Linked DNA regions of Struthio camelus. The protein of the gene in region 1 purifies or fractionates together with the protein of each later gene. This does not show direct contact. Links are inferred from orthologs where the notes say so. Each region holds a gene or a part of one and is shown on either strand. Other genes may lie near its edges. The genes, in order: VCAM1 and MSN.

The links.
Region 2: the proteins of VCAM1 (region 1) and MSN purify together in Homo sapiens (affinity purification with western blotting; 3 studies listed by BioGRID, with this or other methods). This does not show direct contact. The link is inferred for Struthio camelus from reciprocal best matches to the Homo sapiens genes VCAM1 and MSN.

What each region holds. Positions count from the first base shown.
Region 1 is NC_090949.1:16,041,649-16,045,552, forward strand, and holds the start of VCAM1 (vascular cell adhesion protein 1), read left to right. Parts: upstream 1-1,481; 5' UTR 1,482-1,776; intron 1,777-3,904. Other genes in the region: GPR88 (G protein-coupled receptor 88), read left to right, coding at 282-1,349. UniProt on the Homo sapiens protein: Cell adhesion glycoprotein predominantly expressed on the surface of endothelial cells that plays an important role in immune surveillance and inflammation.
Region 2 is NC_090952.1:29,427,755-29,431,658, forward strand, and holds the start of MSN (moesin), read right to left. Parts: upstream 2,344-3,904; 5' UTR 2,164-2,343; coding exon 2,152-2,163; intron 1-2,151. UniProt on the Homo sapiens protein: Ezrin-radixin-moesin (ERM) family protein that connects the actin cytoskeleton to the plasma membrane and thereby regulates the structure and function of specific domains of the cell cortex.

The DNA.
Region 1 (3,904 bases):
GTCTGCTAACAGCTCTCTGCGTCCTATGCACCCACTTACACAAGCTACAGTCTGTGGGATCTCTTGCTAGCTACCTGCGCTGGGCACTGCTGTTTGCTGGATCTTTGCTGCTAACTGCATTTTCTGGACCTAGCAGCTCGTTTGCCTGAAGCCTGCCTTTAGAGGCTGTTGATTGCACCTTCTCCCTTGTGTTTGGTGGGGCACTTCTGCAGCAGGATCTTCTGACCCAGGTGAGGATGGGATTTATGGGGAGAAGTCAAAACTGAGCCGCATTCAGCGAGATGCCCAACGCCTCTTCCTGGAGCGCTAGCTCGCCACTGCTGCTGCTCTGGGAGGACTCCTCCGGGACCCGCATCTTCCTGTCGCTGCTCTATGCGGCATTAGCTATCTCAGGGACCTTATCCAATGTGGTGGTCATCTACTTGGTCTTCTCCTTCAAGAAGCTGCAGACGACCAGCAACGCCTTCATCGTGAACGGCTGCGCCGCCGACCTGAGCATCTGTGCCCTGTGGATGCCCCAGGAGGCCGTGCTGGGGCTGCTGCCTCCCAACTCCTCTTCCCTTCGCTCGGTGGAGTACCGGCTGCTCCGAGGGGGGCTCCTCGGCCTTGGCCTCACCGTCTCCCTAGCCTCTCACCTGCTGGTGGCCTTCAACAGGTACGTGCTCATCACCAAGCTGCCCAGCGTCTACCAGGCCCTCTACCAGCGGAGGCACACGGGCTGCATGATCGGGCTCTCCTGGGTGCTCGCGCTGCTCCTGCTCCCGCTGCTGCCCGGCCTCTGGGCCCCGGCCGCTGCCCAGCAGCCGCCTCCGGGCCGGCAGGCGGACGGCGGCCCCCGCTACACCGCCCTGCTGCTGGCCCTGGCCGTGCTCAGCCAGACGGCGCTGCTGCTCCACTGCTACCTCGGCATCGTGCGGCGGGTGCGGGGCAGCGCCAAGCGGGTCAGCGTCCTCAACTTCCACCTGCTGCACCAGCTGCCCTTCCCTGCTGCCCCGCCGCCGCCCCGCCGCGCCCAGCGCCGCCTCAGCACCGTCTCCGTCCTGCTGCTCTGCTGCGTCTTCCTGCTGGGCACGCAGCCCCTGGTGTGGGTGAGCCTGCTGGGCTTCTTCCTGCCGCCCGCGCCGCCGGCGCTGCAGGCCGCCAGCTGGCTGCTGCTCTGCTCCCTCTCGGCCCTCAACCCGCTGCTCTACACGTGGCGCAGCGAGGAGTTCCGCCGGGCGGCGCGCTCCGTGCTGCCCCGCGCCGAGGCCGCCGCCGCCCCGCGCCCCGCCGCCGCCAACGCCAACGCGCCGCCCTGCCCGCAGCTGCCGCGGCGGCGGGGGACGGCGGCCAGCGCCGCACCCCGCTGAAGGGCGCCCCGCGCGGGTCCCCGCCGCCCCGCCCCGCCCAGACGTGGTGGCTGCGGAGGCGCCCGGGTGGCGGCGCTCGCGGGCCGAGGCCGGGCGGGAGGCCGCGCCCGGCCCCGCCCCCGCCTCGGGCCCGCTCCCGCCTGAGGCGGCGCGAAATGGCGGGCGCTGCCTGGCCGCGGCGGTGCCCGCCGTCGGAGAGCCGAGGCTTCTCCCGCCACGCCCGGTTCCCCTCCCGACTGAAATCCCGCAGTCCTCCCTTCCCTCCAGTGTCTCTGCCGCGATAAACTTCTTGCCGCGGCTGCCTTTCCGGGCGCCGGGGAAGGCGAGGGCCGTCGGTGCTCGCTGCCTCTCGGCTCCTCCGCCCGCGCAGCAGCGCCCATCGGCGGGGACGAGCCCCAAGGCTGGACTGAGAAGTCTGGGATAACTGGTAAATACTGCAGCATACGTAACTGCTTTCATTTTAAAGATTTCAATACAAGATAGGCAGCTGAACATCTCTCTTGAGGCTTAGTGCAAGTTTGTCTTTATGTAATCTATGTGATTCTTTCAGTATCTCTTTAAAATGGGCTCCCTGAAACACAAGGTTCACTTGTGAACAACGGATGAATGTCATGCCACCAAAAAAAAAAAAGAACTCTCCAAACAAACAAAACCCACCAAGGAACTATTTCCTTTCCCCCTTCCTTTATCATCCCTGCACCCCATGCGAGACCCTCCTTGAGCTTTCCCCTGGCAAACTTCTGCGTGATGCCACCTGTGGAAACTGTTACAAACAAACAAAAAACCTACCCTTTTAGTAGTTTTTTTTTTTTTTGGAAAACTCTCTAAATGAAACACACTTTGACAAAGGCCTCTGTCTATGGCAATGAACTAAGTGAAAAATAATGCAATATGGAGACTAGAGTTCTCTATCTAACCTTATCTATTCAATTACCAGTTTATGGTGTTTCCATTAAATGCATTATTGTTAAAGTGGGATTTCACAGCCTCTGCTAAATATAAAACGACAGATTCTCTGTAGCATTTGGAAAGGCATCAACTCCTCCCACTCAGAGCGGTGAGGGAAGTGGAGCTGCTCCGTGGTGAGTACTGCAGCCTCAAGATTTCTTTCAGGAATGGACCTGAAATTCTTTGGTTTTTTCTTCATCACTTGGCTGCTTGCTTCCTCTTTTGTGACACAGCTGATGCTGTTTCCGTGGTGGTGGTGGTGGTGGTGGTGGTACTTAGCACTCTTTGCCTTTTGTTACAGAAGACTGGAAGACGCTAATCCCACCCTAAATTCACGGGCACTGCTCATTAAGGCGATCAGAGCAGTAACATCTAAATCACGTCTGCTTGAGAAGGAGAATAGGGATGTGGGAGCATAGGAATTTGTTGCGTTGGGTGACCAGAATTATTAAAAGTTAGCAGCTCTCCTGATGATATTTGAGTGGTAAGACAATAACAAGGAAGGAACAGACGTATCATCCTCCACAAGGAGTAAACCTTATAGTCATAGGGCTGTATTTTAAAATGTTCTATGCTTTGCTTACCTTACCTGAAGTGGGTAAAGTTTCAGCAGAAACTGCTTTAAGAGGAAAGGAAGATTTCCTCTTTTCCTTTTTCATTTTTTTTTCCTTGGCCTAAAGCCTGTTGCGCAGCTGTGATGTATTTGAAATCCCCATACCACTGTTTTATTTTTCTAAATAACAAGTCGCCGTCATCACAGAAAAAATGCTGCTTCAAGTCAGGATTAAACCAAGGCAAGAAGCTGAGGCTTCAAAATGAAAACAAGAAAACACGTTTTGGCACGGAGAAACAACAAGTGAAAACAGCTTTTTATTCACTTTCAAGGACCTGGGGAAAAGTAAGAGAAGTTTCCTAGAGTCTGAAGTTCATGGAGCTTTTACAATCAGGTGTACCACCTGAGTGGCAATATCAGAAAGATTAGGAGGCCTAGCAAGGTAACATGAACATAGAAGACTTGCAAGATTTATTTTATTAACACTGTGCACGTATCTTGGAGAGTGGAGGATCGTCGTTCTAATTGCACCTCCTAATCAGTGACTGTGCTTTTGTTAGCTTTGTGGTGCAAATGCAGAAGAGGAAGAGCTCTTCCAGCCACCCCATTCCAGTTCTGGAAAACATTCAGAATTACTGCCAAAATAAAGCTAAACTTGGGGACACCCAGGGTTAAGATCTCATTCTACTATGAAGTAATTTTTGGGCCGGAACCCACCAAAGGATGAGCATTACCACTTCTCATGTGTCTAAAGGAACTGAAGACGTTTGGCAACCACAGTACTTGGGCCCATAAGCAAAAGAACAAACACTTAAAATGATTAGACTAAGTAACTTATTTTTAGCTATGAAACATGTTAGTCAGGAATTAAAGCAATAACCTGTTTCAAACTCAATGTCTGAACAACAGATAACTGGAACTTCTGGATTTGGTCCCTTGCAGAAGAGCATGCAAGTTAAATCTTAAATGCCTGTATTTTATATAGAAAATATTTTAAATGCAAACATGTATAAAATTGCTATTGTGTATAAAACTTCAGTCAGCTATCCTTATG
Region 2 (3,904 bases), on another chromosome or scaffold:
CTTTATCTGCCCCAGTACTGAAAGCAGAACTACTCTGTAAGAACAAGAAAGCCGTAGACTGAACACAGGCATCCAGCCTAGGGTGTTGCCTCCAGATTCAGAGGCTACAGTGAGTACCTTGTAACACAGTGTCAAAACGCTTGGACTCAGCCTGTTAGTAGGGGAACCCTGCCCACCATGGCTCTCTGCAATATGTCAACATTTTCTGGTTGATTCACACTAAAAGAAGTCACTCATCACAGCTGTACTCTTCACTGACTAAAAAGTCTCAGTAGCAGTTTACACAGAAGTCCCCTCATCTGAGCCACTTCCACTCTTTTTACTGAACTTTTGCCTTTTTTAGGAAGAGGTAACTGTTCACTAATCATTAGTGATGTCTGAAGAGACTACCTTTTTTAAAGCTTTAGAAAATATTGTCTTCTTAACCTTTAAGAGTAACTTGAGGTTGATATCCTTTAGGATGTCGATGTTTTAAAATACACACACATACACGAATGCACATGAACCCAGCTATTGTCTCAGAGTGCTGGCATATAAGACAGCAGGACAAGCAGAAATCAGTTAAGCAGGCACTTACTATCTATTGTAAAGTGATAAAATTAAACTATTTGTTAAAAAAAAAAAACAGGGTGGATTCTGTTTCAGCTTCCAGTTGTAGGGCTTTTTATTATTATTATTTTCTGTTAAATGTAAACTATAGACTCATAGTTTACATGTTAGATGTTCTTAAGCCATTTTGGACCATTCTTAGCGAGGAAATGTCCAGAGCCTTCCAGCCTGCTCCTTCCTGTTTTACCAATGAAGGGCAAGGACCAATTCTTTTGATTCCAACCAGGAGAGATTAAAATGGAAAAACCCATGCTCCCTATTAGTCACTAAAGTCCTGCTAGAAAAGGGAGAGTCAAGTACAGACTTGACAAGACTTTCTGAAGTACCAACATCTCTGCAGCCAAGAAATACTTTGAGTCAAGCTGGGACAAGGCTCCCTAGCAACTCAAACAGACTAATTATGAGTTGTGAAAACCCCAAACTTGTGTTCTTTACAGACCTCACGAGAGGCAGCCATATAATTAATTAATTCCCACTGTGCCCTAGAAAGCTTTATCCAATATGCTTTTAAAAACCCCTCCTTAAGATCAGAGCTCATCAAGGAGCACACAAGCAAGCAGGATAGAAGGTGGTACTGGTGATGCAGGGACAGGGGGAAGAAAGTACCTCTTTATAAAGCAGAGAGAAGACGTTTTAGAGAGAACAAGCAGTTTCGGGAGGGGAGTTGCACAACTGCACCGTTAGTCAGCACCCCCCGGGCAGGGCGGGCAGCCGCAGAGGGACCCGGCGCAGAGGGACCCGCAGAGGGACCCGCCCGGCCCGGCCCGCCCGCCCGACGGGAGCCCCCCCGGGGGGCAGCGGGGCCGCGGCCCGGCCCGGCCCGCCCGCCCGACGGGAGCCCCCCCGGGGGGCAGCGGGGCCGCGGCCCGGCCCGGCCCGACCGCCCGCCCGACGGGAGCCCCCCCGGGGGGCAGCGGGGCCGCGGCCCGGCCCGGCCCGACCGCCCGACGGGAGCCCCCCCGGGGGGCAGCGGGGCCGCGGCCCGGCCCGGCCCGGCCGCCCGACCGACGGGAGCCCCCCCGGGGGGCAGCGGGGCCGCAGCCCGGCCCGGCCGCCCGCCCGCCCGACGGGAGCCCCCCCCCCCCCCCGGGCTGTGCCGGGCGCCGGGGATCGCGGCGCGCCAGGAAGCGGCCGAGAAGGCAGCACAAGATGGAGGGAGGCCGCTCCGCTCCGCTCCGCTCGCCCCCGCGCCCCGCCCCGCCCGCCGCATCTCCGCCGCCGCCCGACCCGCGCTCCGCTCGCCCGAGCAGCCCCCCCCCCCGCCGCCGCCTCTCCCGGCCCCCCGCGCCCCGCCGGCGCCTCCCGAGCCCCCCCGGCGGGAAGTGCTGCCCGCGGGGCGGCGCGGGGGGAGCTGGGGCGCTGCCTCCCCCGCCCGCCCGAGCCTCCCCGGCCGCGGCGCCGCCACCCCGGGCCCCTCCGGCCGCAGCACGGCCCGCCCGAGCCCCCCGGCCCGGGCGCCGCCACCCCGGGCCCCCCCGGCCCGGGCGCCGCCAGCAGCCGCCTCCCCGCGGCGGGGCCGGCGGCCGGGCTCGGCGCACACACCGTTTTCGGCATCTTCCCGGCGGGCTGGGCGCGGCGGGCACGGCAGGTCTCTCCTCCTACGCCGCTGGGGCTCGCTGCGAGCTGCCGTCTAACGGGACGGGACGGGACGGGACCGGACTGCCCCGCCGCTCCGCCCGCGCCCCAAACCCCGCCCCGGGCGGCGGCCGCCTTCGCCCGCGCTGGAGCCGCGCAGCCCCCGGCCCCGCCCGGCTCGGCCCGGCCCTCCCCCCGGCCCTCCCCCCGGCCCCGCTCCCCCCGTCCATCCCCCCGGCCCTCTCCCCCGGCCCTCTCCCCAGCCCCGCTCCCCCGGCCCTCTCCCCGGCCCTCCCCCCCGGCCCCGCTCCCCCGGCCCGCTCCCCCATCCCTCCCCCGGCCCCGCTCCCCCGGCCCTCTCCCCGGCCCTCCCCCCCGTCCCTCTCCCCGGCCCCGCTCCCCCGTCCCTCCCCCCCGGCCCCGCTCCCCCGGCCCTCTCCCCGGCCCCGCTCCCAGGGCGCGGCCGAGCCCGCTGCCCCGTTGCTGCCTCGCGGCACCTCGTAGCCAGGCTTCCCCAGCTTCTAAAATTAGCTCCCCGAAAAACAGGAGAAAGCCGTGAACTCTGAAGTTTACTTACATCCCAGGTGTCACCGAGACTTTTGGTCTTTGCTGACAGTACTCTTTTAAAAATAACGTTGTTTTACAGACTATTACACTTTTCAAATTACATTTTCATAGTCATAAAAACAAGACCACAGCACTGGCATGCGATAGATCTTTTTGTCTTTCATTTAGTCTGAATCATGCACGCTTGGGGTGCAGCTCAGCAGTGAAGTAAGTCAATAATCTCCTGAACACGGGGTCTTGGATGATCATGCTTTTATTTACCCGCTGTTTGCAGTGCCTGTTCGGCTAGAAAGAACCTAGCATCCTGTTTCAGGGGTTTGAAAAGCATCGCAGACACAGAAGGGCTTTGGCTCCCTGAAACTTGGCAGGCAAACCACCCTTAATCTTCAGACCTTCTCAGAGGCTCCCAACATAATTACATGGTATAAATGAGCAATCAAATTCATGGATTAAGAAGCTCTGAGGACCAGCTGCAGACCACTCACCAAACCTTCTCGTGCCATCTGTGTTTTGGAACCTCTGGTAGGGAATGAAGGTCACAGGGACTTTAAAAAGGCATTTCATCTCATTTGCTACTTTGAACATACTTTAAAACAGTGACCCTATTCCTATTTTCTCCCAGGAAGAAATGCCATTCTTTTTAAAGTTAACAAATTGTGTGCAGTAGAAGGAAATGAAATCTCAATAAATTCAACCTGTATCTGTTTTTAAGGAAAGCAGTAACTTATCTTTTTTTTTATCTTTCTTGAACTTCATTTTTTTCCAAATCTGCTAAACATTTTCAGATCTTTAAGACATCTTGCTTCATGGAAAGACCATGCAAGACTAGCTGGACTTCATAACCCACTTCTTCCTTGAATGTGAATAAATGAAGGTTATGTTAACATGAAAACACATAAATCCAGCTATAAAATGGAAAAGGGGCAAGCCAAGATCTACTAGGCAGTTCAGCACAGATTCCTGCTGAGTAAACTGTTTTCTTTAATTTGATTAGAGGATTCTGCTGGGATTAGTATTAAATTGAGGCATGTTGGGAATTGACATCAGATTCATAATAATACTTTGTAAATCTTTAAAAATTGCACTTTATTCAGAGGATCTCAAAGGGCCCTGTAAATACCCATAATTAAATCCTCACAGTCTGCAAAAAGGA